Callithrix jacchus: one gene and its partners. The protein of the gene in region 3 interacts with the protein of the main gene of each other region in a pairwise test. Links are inferred from orthologs where the notes say so. Each region holds a gene or a part of one and is shown on either strand. Other genes may lie near its edges.

What was found. The genes of interacting proteins can lie anywhere in the genome.
Region 1: the proteins of TRIM41 (region 3) and ZBTB48 interact in binary tests that used the Homo sapiens proteins (3 or more experiments, as listed by UniProt). The two-hybrid records come from large-scale screens. The link is inferred for Callithrix jacchus from reciprocal best matches to the Homo sapiens genes TRIM41 and ZBTB48.
Region 2: the proteins of TRIM41 (region 3) and MEOX2 interact in binary tests that used the Homo sapiens proteins (3 or more experiments, as listed by UniProt). The two-hybrid records come from large-scale screens. The link is inferred for Callithrix jacchus from reciprocal best matches to the Homo sapiens genes TRIM41 and MEOX2.

What each region holds. Positions count from the first base shown.
Region 1 is NC_133508.1:44,471,204-44,475,265, reverse strand, and holds the start of ZBTB48 (zinc finger and BTB domain-containing protein 48), read right to left. Parts: upstream 2,812-4,062; 5' UTR 2,749-2,811; exon of another isoform or gene 2,667-2,748; intron 2,271-2,666; 5' UTR 2,202-2,270; coding exon 1,512-2,201; intron 1-1,511. Other genes in the region: TAS1R1 (taste receptor type 1 member 1), read right to left, coding at 3,228-4,062. UniProt on the Homo sapiens protein: Plays a critical role in transcriptional regulation and chromatin remodeling. Acts as a regulator of telomere length. Directly binds the telomeric double-stranded 5'-TTAGGG-3' repeat.
Region 2 is NC_133512.1:42,792,488-42,796,798, reverse strand, and holds the start of MEOX2 (homeobox protein MOX-2), read right to left. Parts: upstream 2,812-4,311; 5' UTR 2,533-2,811; coding exon 2,019-2,532; exon of another isoform or gene 1,978-2,018; intron 1-1,977. UniProt on the Homo sapiens protein: Mesodermal transcription factor that plays a key role in somitogenesis and somitogenesis and limb muscle differentiation. Required during limb development for normal appendicular muscle formation and for the normal regulation of myogenic genes.
Region 3 is NC_133503.1:73,626,479-73,630,781, forward strand, and holds the start of TRIM41 (E3 ubiquitin-protein ligase TRIM41), read right to left. Parts: upstream 2,808-4,303; 5' UTR 2,091-2,807; coding exon 1,281-2,090; intron 1-1,280.

The sequences.
Region 1 (4,062 bases), on a different chromosome or scaffold from region 3:
AACGGGGTGGGGTCCAAATTAATCAACAGGGGTTATAGGGACCCAGCTCCAGTTCCATCCCAAACTCCAACCCTGACAAGTCCCTTCATCAGGGACTGTTCTTTCAGGGGCCTAGGGCAGAGAGCATCTGAATCTTGGATTCGGAGGAAAGTGGCTCTGTTTGGGGGAAACCGGAAGCTCGGCTGCAAACACCACCCTGGGGAAACACCTGTAACCGTGATGCTGCCCACTACTTTCAGGAAGGTGGCAACCATGAACAGCGGGGGCTTGCAGAAAGGTCAGCCTGAGGTCACCAGCTTCGTTTGGAAAAAGCCTGTTCCAAACCCACGTTAACAGAGATTGTTTTGGGATCCAGATTATTATTATTTTTTTTGAGATGGAGTCTCACTCTGTTGCCCAGGCTGGAGTGCAGTGGTGCAACCTCAGCTCACTGCAACCTCTGCCTCCCAGGTTCAAGCAATTCTCCTGCCTCAGCCTCCCAAGTAACTGGGATTATAGGCGCCTGCCACCACACCCAGCTAATTTTTCTTGTATTTTCAGTAGAGACGGGGTTTCACCATATTGGCCAGGCTGGTCTCAAACTCCTGACCTTGTGATCTGCCCACCTAGGCTTCCCAATGTGTTGGGATTACAGGCATGAGCCACCGCACCTGGCTTTTTTTTTCCTTTTTTTTTTTTGAGACAGGGTCTTGCTCTATTGCCTAGGCTGGAGGGCAGTGGCACGATATCAGCTCACTACAACCTCTACTTCCTGGGCTCAAGTGATCCTCCCACCGCACCCTCCTGAGCAACTAGGACAACTGGTATGTGTGTGCCACCACACCTGGCTAAATTTTTTTTTTTTTTTTTTGAGACGGAGTTTCGCTGTTGTTACCCAGGCTGGAGTGCAATGGCACAATCTCGGCTCACCGCAACTGCCGCCTCCTGGGTTCAAGCAATTCTCCTGCCTCAGCCTCCCAAGTAGCTGGGACTAACAGGCACGCACCACCATGCCCAGCTAATTTTTGTATTTTTAGTAAAGACGGGGTTTCACCTTGTTGACCAGGATGGTCTCAATCTCTCGACCTCGTGATCCACCCGCCTTGGCCTCCCAAAGTGCTGGGATTATAGGCGTGAGCCACCGCGCCCAGCCTATTTTATTTTTCTTTTCTTTTTTTAAAAATTTTTCTTAAAGATGGGGTTTCACCATGATGGCCAGGCTGGTTTTGAACTCCTGACCTCAGATGATCCACCCACCTCAGCCTCCCAGAGTGCTACGACTACAGGTGTGAGCCACCATGCCCGGCTTAATTTTGGGATTTTTTTTGTACAGATGTGGTCTCACCATGTTGCCCGGGCTAGTCTCAAACTCCCAAGCTAAAGTGATCCATCCTCCTTGGCCTCCCAAAGTGCTAGGACTACAGGTGTGAGTCAGCCATCACATACCACACGAGGCCCAGGGTCCCTATTATACCAAAAAATTGTCTATTCCCTCTATTCCCTTCCCAGTCCCAGTACCCTGGGCACAGTACCTCATTACTCCGGCCCTGCAGCTGGGCACCTTCAGCCTGGAAGAGCCTTGGGGGCACTTTGCAGTCCTCAGGTTCCTTGTCCTCGGGAGGACAAGCCTTCAGGGCCTGCTTGAGTTTCCCACATAAGGAGGAGGGGCTCTCACTTTGAGCAGGAGAATGGAGCTGGGGCCTCTGAGGACTATGACTGCCTCTGGGCTCCTGATCCCTGGGGACTAGACCCAGAGTCCTCGAAACTTCCTCTTCTTCCAAGCCTGCCGGCTCCTTGATGTGGCTGTTCACATTCTGGGAGGCAGGGGGCCCCAGCCCACTCTGGCCACCTGCTGCCTGTCCTACTGAAGTTTTGGGCTTGAAACTCTGGCACAGCTCTACGGCCTCTGGCACTCGCAACTCCCTGGCTGCCAGAAGCACCTGATCCCGGTTCCCTGAGGTGAGGGCGAGGTGACCAGTGTAGAAAAAGTCCAACAAAAGGCCAAAGATCTCAGCGAAGCCAGCAGGGAGGACGACACTGCCCCCTGAGCCATCCCCGTAGAGGCTCTGGAAGAAGTGGCTGCAGCAGGCAAGGACGCTCCAGTGGGCCTTAAACACCAGGCCCCCCACGTCCAGGGTGGCGTCGCAGTACTGGCCCTTCTCCCGCTGCTTGTTGAGCTCCTGCAGAACCCTCACACTGTGCTGGACGAAGGAGCCGTCCATGGTCTGGAGGACAGGGAGGCAGAAGTGACACTCTGGCCAGCCCAAGCGAGGGTATGCAAGATAAAGCCCCTGTAGTCGAAAAGAGAGAAAGGGGAAGTTGTCCTCTATTCAATCAAATTTATCAGCACAAGGGCTTGGGTCAAGGTGAGAGGTGCACGCGGAGGGCAAGAACACACTGAGAGCCTCTTGGGGGCCAGGGGCCATATTGGGTTGGCCGGGGGGATGCTGATGGGGTCCAGGGTCGTGAAGAGGGGCCTGATGGGAGAAATCAAAGTTTGGGGAAAGGAGGCACGGGATGAGCGCGAACTAACTGGCCCGGCACAGCGAGAGGATCCTGGAAGGGGGAGGGCGGCGGCCGCGGACAGGTGAGCGGGGCCCACGCCGCGCCACAGGTCCCGAGCGGCCGAGCGGAAGGCAGCCACGGCGGCCCGCAGCCCCTCCCTCCCTCACCCCGCGCCCTCTCACCCAGGCAGGTTCTCCCTAAGCCGGCCGAGCCGGCCCCACCAGCCGCCGGCTCCGTCGCCTCCACAGCCCACGAACCAACTACCTGGCAATGCGTGCCCCGCGGACCGTGCGGAGACGCCGCCGTCTTCGCGCCGGACGTGACGTCAGAGCGTGCCTGCCAGGAGGGGCGCCTGGGAAGCGTAGAGTTTCTAGCGCCAGCCCCTTAGGGCGGGACCCTGCAGAGAATGGCCAATGCGATGCGGGGACGAGGCCAAACCCTGTTCTTTCGGCGCCGGACCCGCCTCCGGAGTTGCCTAGCAACGTCAAGCTAGGCGCCCAGCCTTTTCCAGGCTCTGGATTCAGACTTCAATAGGCTACATCTCACCCTCTCCCGGGACAGGAAATCAGATACGCGTTTCACTTCTTTATTGGCAGCCCGGAGCCTGCTCTGGGCTCTCCCGGGCGCTTACACGTCCTAACACCAGACTGAGGAGCCCAGAGGCTTCCCGGACACCCCCGGCCTGCTCGACCTTCGACCCTGAGGGCAGGGAAGGTTGCCGGCCGTGCCTGCTGACCCACTGGTCAAGTGGAGCTGCGGCGCCTCGTGTAGTCCTGAATGGAGGCCTGGAAGTGCTCTGTGCTGTTAAGGTCTGGACGGCAGAGGATTACATAGCACTTGGGCAGAAAATACCCGCCGAAGCCACTGCTCAGGCTGCTGAGCACAGCCAGCATGTTGACTGCGGGCAGGTACTTGCCGTCGTAGACACTGGCCGTGGTGAAGAAGGCGATCCAGGACACGAAGTTGAAGAGCAGGCTGAAAGTGACACATTTGGCCTCGTTGTAGTTCTCTGGCAAGTCCTTGCCCAGGTAGTTGCAGGCAAAGGCGCTGATGGAGAGGAGGCCATTGTAGAGGAAGGCCAAGATGAAGCCCAGAGAATTGGCCTCTGTGCACTCAAGCACCACCAGCTGGGGGAAGCGCTGGTATTCCCGAGTGGGCAGTGGGGTCCACACCACCAGCCAAGTTAGACAGATAAGCAGCTGGGCAGCTGAGCTGATCATCACAAACAGGCCGGCACCGTGGTTTTGGACCCAGGCATGGTAGAATGTAGGCACCTTGGTGGAAAACTTGAAGATGATGACTAGTTGGAAGGAGCGAACTGTCAGGCAGGACAGGAAGATGGTGAAACCAAGGGCAAAGAGGGCCTGGCGCAGTAAGCATGCAGGCCATGTGGGCTCCCCAAAGAAACCATAGAGGCTGCTGCTACCTGCTGCCAGGGAGCCCAGCATCAGAAAGCACAGCCGGCCCCCTGCTGACCTCACCACAGGCGTGTCTAGGTGCCAGGCAAACAGGCCAGCAGTCCCAAGCAGCAGCAGCAGCAACACCGTGTTCGCTGCCAGCAGCACCCAAGAGGTATGC
Region 2 (4,311 bases), on a different chromosome or scaffold from region 3:
CCACTCAAGTTTTAATTTATTCATAATTTATTCAGCTGACACAAACACTTATATTTGTTTGTTTTTCCATTACCCTCATTATCAGCTTCAACATGTAGAAATGAACTTAATTTTGTTAAATGGCTATTTCCCACACAGTTGGGGGAAGAGACAAATGTTATTAAATTATTCCTTTTTAAAAAAAAAAGTTTTATTAAAATAAATTAAGGAAATCAGTTATTGAATTCCATTTTCTTGGTTTCCCCCAAACAAAATAACATGTGCTTGCATGAAAATTGTTTGCCCTAAGAAACTTAAGGGCAGTGGCTCAGTTCCGGAAGCATAAGGCTATCATGTAGGTTTCTCATTGCAGAAAAATAAAATGAACAGTAAGGGCTTATGGGAATTGCAAGAGTACTCTCATCAGCCTGAACTGGGATCTCTTTCAAAAGTTACACTGATATCGAATGTTCAGTTTATAAAATTGTCACTGCATTCTAAAATCGACGGTTTTTCTAATAAAAATTGAAACCTTCTTACAACGATTAACCTTCCACTATCTAAAGGGAGTTTCACTTATAGTTAGGAAAATACAGTAAATATCAGTGACACCACTGCTAACTTTCTTATAAAAACTAATTTGTGATTGAACATTAAAAGTTCATCCCCTATCCTTGGAAAATAAAAGTTATTTTATTCTTCTGACAGAAGAATCTATCCCATACTAACGCTGAAGAACGATTGATATTGCTGCGAAGGGGAGAGGAATATTAAACATGCGGTCAATCATTTTCATTTATGTGACATCTCACCTAAAGCTTTAAAAAGCATAAACATTCCAATCCTTCAAACCAATATATGGGATTACCTTCTAGGACTATTATTAACCCAGTTCCGCAGAGGAAGAAAAATATACAAATATTATATTAAACAAATAATACCTTCCAAAAAGATGGAAGCCAGGGTGCACCATAGCCACGAAAGAAAACTCACAAGTCTCTCAATTTTAAAGTATCTTTTAACAATTTTATGATAATAGAAGTAGGTCAGAGCTTTGAAAAGTTGTCTGGAAAACTTTGAGTTTCTCTGGATTGCTACAATTTACTCTGCAAGTTGTGCCTTCAAGCACCAGAGGTCAGGAAGATTCCCCTTTTGCGTGGCTGCTCAAATTATCCTCACTGAAATCAGCGCTTCCTGCGCACCCTTGCATACGACCTTCAGGCACGTAGCTAACTGACACTACCCAAGTTGCTGTTCGCTACCCAGTATTTGCCGCAGCTAAAACCAACTTGGTAGAGGGATTTATTTTCCACTCTTGAAATTTAGATTCTGTAATTAACTTACACAACATGAACATGTACTATATTAAGGTTCGTCTTTCTTCCAGCGTGAGCATGTATTTATTTACAATTCTCTGACACATTCCTTAAAATCTGAATTCCTAGATAATATCTTCTTCCCTAAGAAGGGGAAATTTTTACCATTTGAAATAGGGTGCTATTTAAAGAACTCTCAAACAAGAATGTTTAAAAAAAAAAAACTAAAACTTTTTTTTTTTTCTCATGTGCTCTGCCAAGTTCCATTGCAAGTTCCAAATATTGTGCAATAATTTGGAAATCCAGTTTACGATGGGAAAAGTCAAGCCACTCAGAGTCGGGAACTTGCAAGAGAAAAGTCAAGAAGCAGCACCCGCACGCACGCACGCCTGCCCAACGGACGCGGCATCCCTGGGCACACGCCCCTCCCTCCCCCGCGCTGGGATGGAAGGTCACGCTTCGCAATCGATTTCACAGCCACTTGTCCTTTTTTATCAACCTTCTGGTAAACTAGTTTAGGACCTTGGAGAGCTTAGAGCTGCTAGCTGTGTTGCTCTCGGATAAACACGTGCCCCCAAATAACAGGACCAAAGCTTCACCGCCGAATTTAACACATTCCCCTCTTCCCCGCCGCCACCCTCCAGGGCCAGACTCTTCCCTGGCATCTCCCCGCCCCCTTTCCAGGCCGGCGCGCACTCTCGAGGGTGCCTGGCGCTCTCTTACCTGAGCTGTCGCTTTTCCTCTTGCCACCGCTTCGTTTCTCCGCCTCCGCAGGTGACAGTGCCTGGCGACCGTAGTCCCCTGGCGCGCACGAGGCCCCGGTCGGGGTGCTGGAGCCCAAGCTGGAAGAGTTGGAACACAGGACAGGCGGGCTGCTCCCCAACTCTGGGGGTCCTCCGGAGTCGGGCTGGAGGCAGAGGCTGTGCCGAGCCGCAGTCGGTGGGGAGGACATCTGCGGGAGGTGCCAATTGGTTTGCAGAGCCTGGTGCTGCTGCTGCTGATGGTGGTGATGGTGGTGATGATGGTGGTGGTGGTGCCCCCTGTGATGCTGGCTGGCAAACATGCCCTCTTCGTTGGGGTATCCCGCGATTATGCAAGATGAGGAAGAAGTAGAGAGCTCGGGGTAAGACATATGGTCAGATCTTCCATGCAGGGCTAGAGAGGATTGGGAGAACGGGTGCAAGCCTTGTGCCGTGGCGTGAGGGCTGCGCAGGCAGCCAAAGAGCGGGTGTTCCATAGCATGCAAGTTTCGGGTTCCAGGCAGAAGACTTCACGGCGGTTCTAAAGGCCACCACCCTCTGTCACTTTTCACTGGAAACCGTGTGATGTTTTTTACCCCTCTCAAAGCAATAGCCGTGCACTTCTGCAGAGCTCGGATAATCCCGGTCCTGAGCCCTAACGGCCAGTCTCCTTTACATATGAACAGTCGGACCTGGAAGAGCTTCCCTGAGCTACTCAGATGTCAAGAGTGGGAGAGGTTGAAGCCAAAAGAAGGTGGTCCCAGTGAACTGCCTTCAGGGGGAAATGGCTCTGAGAGGTTATAAATAGACTGTAACGTGAGCTGGGGGCTGGCTTAGGAGCCCAGAGTTGACCACATGCAAACTCCCTCCAAAACTCCCGCTCAGTCTGCGCCACGCGCTCCCAGTTCCACTTCCTATCGCCGGCTGGACAGACGCAGAGCGTCCACGCCCGCCTAGCCCTGCCAGCTACCAGGACTACAAGCGGCGCGCCAGCGTCTAAATCCCGCCCGGGAGGGCAGCGGCTCTGCCCTCCAGACTCTGGAGGCCAGGGCGCGGCGCGCACCAGCGCCAACCCAGCACCCTGTTTCCCACCTACTAATTTTTCTCTTGGGAAAACGTAACTTGTCAGTGTCATTTGGGAACTGTCACCTGCAGAAAAGCTAGGGATACGCCTAGCCTTTGAGGAACACGAAAGAAGTGATAGGGTTAAAGGAAAAGATCAGAGCTAGCCTGGCGCACTCTGGAAGTTTTTCAAACTTCGCATCTTCCCGTGCCCAGGGCGCCGCCGCGCGCCTAGGTTTTCGCAGTTAGTTTCTGTGGGTGGTGGTTAAGAGGCTGGGACGCCAGGTCTGAGGTTTCGGGGACGTGCACCATGGCCTGGAAAGTGTGGTTCACAGTGCGGAAAGACCTGAGAGGAAGACCTAAGGAAGACCTGGTGGGGTGGGTGGGAGGTAAGCGCGAATTGCAGATGCCTGCTCTCTGGCATCCTCACGTGCGATGCCCGGTGGAGTCTCCCTCCCCCCCGCTTTCCTGGTCTCGCTCAATTTCCTAGCCACTCGTCCACCAAGAAGAAATTTTCCTGGGTCAAGAATTATTTCCAAGCGATTTTGTCCCAGTCACATGAGATGTGTAGATTTGCATGCACATTTCTAGCCTCTCCCCTCCGGAGCTAGCCCAGGTCTCTTCAGTTCCCTCTAGAAATCCACTCTTCTGCTCAAAAATAAATCCACTAATCGTGTCTCTTAACACCACTGCTCCATTTACTGAGAAATCTTAAATTTCGATAGCTCTAAGAATTCACTAAGCTTGGGCGCTTGATTACATCTTTGCATCCCTGAAAATAAACTCGATAACTTGCCTCCAGTAAGCATGGGAGAGCGAGGGCAGGGCTTTGATACTGCCACTTGCTTGGTGAGCGACAAGATCCGCTGGGGCACAGTCGTTTATACACAAGTGAATGGGCTTTAATGAGCAGGAGGAACAGTCACGTCGGATCTGGGACGTGTCGGATCAGGAGAATATCTGTAGTCACCTATTCCACCCGGAGCCCCGACTGCACCACCAGCAGTGTCGCCCTGTTATTTTCATTGTCTCAGGTGTCCAGAGGATGGTGACCAGGTCTTTGAAGTTGTTAATGGGATTAATGGGTACAGCAAACTGGGCTAGACATCTGGTTTGAATTAGGAAAAAGTATTGATTAATCTTTGAGAGGTGTCCCCAAAGCAGAACCTTTCCTCTCCTCTTCCAGTCCCCCTGTTTAAGCCTATCTTTTCTTT
Region 3 (4,303 bases):
AAGGAATTATTACTTTTGATGAGTTGATGTAGGTTTGTCTAATTGTACCACTCAGAGCTGAGAAGCCCCAGACACATTACTCTAAATTTGGGGTAACAAAAATAATACCTAAATGAACTTATAGTAGGAATCAGGAGAAGGTGTAAAAACGTGAGTCATAAAACAAAAAAGCTCTGTGCACACCACACAGAGGCTACCCTCTCCTCCTCCTGGTCCCACTGATTCAAACCCATCCAGGCCTTCACTAAGTAGTGCTACTTGTGCTGGCTGCCTTGCAGACAAATCTCCTTTACCTATGTCCAAAGAAGAGTCAGAATGAGAAGTAGGGGACAAGATATTAGCCAAACTAGAATCAAACTCCAAGAAAGTCCCACATCAGAAAAGATAAACAACAGACATCCAAATGGTGGTGGCATTTTTAATATACACCAGGAGAAGGGATGGTAAATAACCAAGTCAATCATTACTAAAGCTCTGTGGCTTTCTGTATAGTACTTAAAACCTCTCACTTTGTTTCCCAATCTATAAAATGGGAATGGAAAACCTATCAAACTTACAGTGTTGTTTGGGTTTTAATGAGTCAGTCCATGACAAGTGCCTAGTACAGTGCCAGGTATACATACAAACGTCCAGTGAAAAGTAACTATCAATCCTGGAGAAATTAAAGTTCAAAGACACTCAGATCAGACACTTAACCAAGATTTGACAGTGCAACTTGCAGAGCTAGGTCTTCTGACTGAAAAGCTCCTCTTTTCTAGTCAGTACATAAGACTGACACAGAAGAATCAACCAAAGTCCTTGAAGGCAGAACCAAGCCATATTGTGGTGGGAGGGGAAACCATTGGGAGTTAAGTACAGGGCATTTGGGTTTGACGCTGAATACTAGCAGTCATCTCTGTATTCTGCTTTTGAGCCTTTCCTTGTTCTTTGAAGCCCCCAGTTCTTTCCATCTCTAAGTGTTTCCGTCAAGGATAGACTTAAGACTCACCCGAAAGAAAAGGAGACTGCTGATAACGCCCTAGGGACCTGATCTGGCATCACCTGCTTTGCTCTATTTGAAAAAGCCACCATTCCCTGGTGGTCTTCACTGCATCTGCTCGGTATACAGGATCCTTCTCATTCTAACCCACCCCGGTGGCAGTAAGTGCTTAGATAAGCAAACACAGTTCACCAGTGCTATCAGGGTCTTTGGTGGATGAAGAGATTTTCCTTTTCCCAGCTCCCCTTACTTCCTTTCCGCCCCCCACTAAACTCCCATCTTCTCTCTGTACTTCTCTCACCTTATACTCCTGCACCACCTCCTCCAATGGCACCACGCTGTGTTGTTTGTGGCTCCTGGATTCTCGGCACACCACACAGATGGCCTCTTCGTCTACCTCGCAGAAGAGCTTCAGAGCTTCTTGGTGTTTGGGACAGATGCCTTGATCGGTTACACGACTCCCTCGACCAGGGTTTGGGTGCATCTGCCGAATCACCTGGACCATATTGGCCAGTTGCAGGTTGGGGCGGAAGCTCCGCCGAGGAAAGCTCTTTCGGCATTGGGGGCATGTGAAGCACCTCCGAGGGGCGGGAGGTGGGGGTAGTGGGGTGACGGGGTCTAGCTCCTCTTCTTCATCCTCCTCCAGCACTTCCTCCTCGTCCTCCTCATCCTCCCCCCTCAGGTCTTCCTCCATGTCCCCCAAGTAGTAGTCCAGGTCTTCCTCCTCATCCTCCTCCTCCCACACGTAGTCCATATTGTCCCAGCTGGACCTGCCCATGCCACTGGTCCAAAACACACCCTCTTCTTCCTCCTCGACCTCCTCCTCCATGTCACCCTCGTAGTCTTCATCCCGCATGGGGGTATCCCACCCTGCACCAGCCCCCACAGCCTCCACTTCCTCTTCCTCTCCGTCTTCCTCCTCCTCCTCCCGATCTAACTCATCCCTGTCCTCCTCATCCTCCCCACCCCACAACTGGGTTACACACACTCGGCAGAAGTTGTGCCCGCAGCCGATGGACACGGGGTCCGTGAAGTAATCGAGGCAGATGGCGCACACCGCCTCCTCCTGAAGGGTCTGCACAGGGTTGGGTGTCATGGCAACGGCAGCCATCTTAGTGTCCAGCCAGCCAGTGTAGAGGTGCGGTGGGGGGCAGGGGGCGGGGGTCTTCCTCCACCGACGCCAGGGCGACCCGGCCCCACCCCCAGCCCTGCCCCTCCACACCTTGCTCCAAGAGCAGCCAGAGAGATGTCCTCCAGACAACCCACACCGCCGCACAGAGTTCCCTACTCCCGAACGACAACCGTGTCTCAGCGAGGGGAGGGGAGGGGAGGGATGGGGACCGAACTGGGCGCCACCTTCAAGTCCCTCAGGTGGCTCTGGGTGCAAATCTGTCCCAATGCTCCCTTGGACTCCTCATAAACCCCCGCCCCTCCTCACTTCCTGGCCCCGCCCCTAGCTTCCGGCCTCCTTCCAAACACTTCCGGCGTCGACACACCACCTAAGTTCGCGACTTTCCTCCGCTGTCGTGCTACTCCCCCTTTTTCCCCCTGGGGCCCCAGGACGACAGGAAACGGCGAGGAGACGCTCTAGCCCGCATTCGAGAACAGGGCGGGAGGGCTAGGACGGTGGAGGCCCACGTCTCTGTGGTGCGGGGCCAGGGCGAAAGCAGAGAGAACAGAGGAACCGCCTACCCCCATCCCCGGCCGCTGGGGAGAAACTTCTGGGGGAGGAGGGAGCGCTTGGTGGCCGTCTGCCTTCGGTGCTATGACAGCATCGGCCTGGCGCCATCCTACCCACCCGGCACAGTCGACTGCTGCCGGTACTCCCAACAACCGATGCCGGAAGCGAAGGGGTGGGTCCGCGGAGCGCTCTGACGTACTTCCGGCCCTTCTAGGCAGACGACTTTGTGGTGGAGGACTCAGAGGATCGTCCGGGTCTGACTTGGGGGCGGGGCCTGAGAAAGCGCGGCGAGGGTTGGGATGCAGTCGCCCCACCCTTCCAACTGTATTCTGCATTCCGCATCCACGGTAGAAATTGCAAACCCAACGCTGTCTCATGGTTTAGATGAATTTCCCTAACTGCCCAGCAATAAAGAAGTGGTGACGAATCATTACATCTACATTCTCACAGCATCTCTGCAAAAATAGATGCTTTGTGCAGTCGAAATAATATTTGTTGCTTAGATAGCTTTTTAAATTTTATTTTTTCGAGACAAAGTCATGCTCCGTCGCCCAGGCTGGAGTGCAGTGGCACGATCTCGGCTCACTGCAACCCCCGCCTCCCGGGTTCAAGCGATTTTTCTGCCTCAGCCTCCCAAGTAGCTGGTATTACAGGCACGTGCCACTGCGACCGATTACTTTTTGTACTCTAAGTAGAGATGGGGATTTCACCATTTTGGCCAGGCTGGTCTTGAACTTTGTACCTCGTGATCCGCCCACCTCGGCCTCCCAAAGTGCTGGGCTTACAGGCGTGAGCCACCGCGCCCGGACTTAAGTTTTTTTTATTTTTTTTAATTTTTTTATTTTTTAGACAGAGTTTCGCTCTTGTTACCCAGGTTAGAGTGCAATGGCGCGATCTCGACTCACCGCCAACCTCCGCCTCCTGGGTTGAGGCAATTCTCCTGCCTCAGCCTCCTGAGTAGCTGGGATTACAGGCACGCGCCACCATGCCCAACTAATTTTTTGTATTTTTAGTAGAGATGGGGTTTCATCATGTTGACCAGGATGGCCTGGATCTCTTGACCTCGTGATCCACCGCCTCGGCCTCCCAAAGTGCTGGGATTACAGGAGTGAGCCACCGCGCCTGGCCTAAGTTTTATTTTTATAGCGACTGTTGATGTCAGTAGTATATAAATAAATAAATAAATAAATAAATATTGGCCATGATTTATGTACAGAATCTCCAGTGAGTGTCGGACACGGTGTGACGCCAGGGCTGGGCCTGCAGAACTTACTCGGCTCTCAAGGCGGCTCGCGGGAAAACTCCAGATGGGTGTCGTGCTTCCTACGGGGGTGGTCCGGCCTCTGAGGATGTCAGATCAAACGTACCAAAACCACAAACCCTCGTGGGTGAACTATGCTAGGCCATGCCAGGAGCTGCGTACTCTGCTGCAGTAGAAAAGTACGGCCCCAGAACTGGGACACCACCGCTCAGCTGGCCGCGGCACGGGTCCCTGGTCCTGTCCTACAAGGGCGCGGTCCTCTCCCTCTCCCGGCCTTCGCAGTCACGTCTATCTTCAGGACAATGCCGTACGCTAACAGCTAAGGTGGTTTCTGTAGTGTAGTGGTTATCACGTTCGCCTCACATGTGAAAGGTCCCTGGTG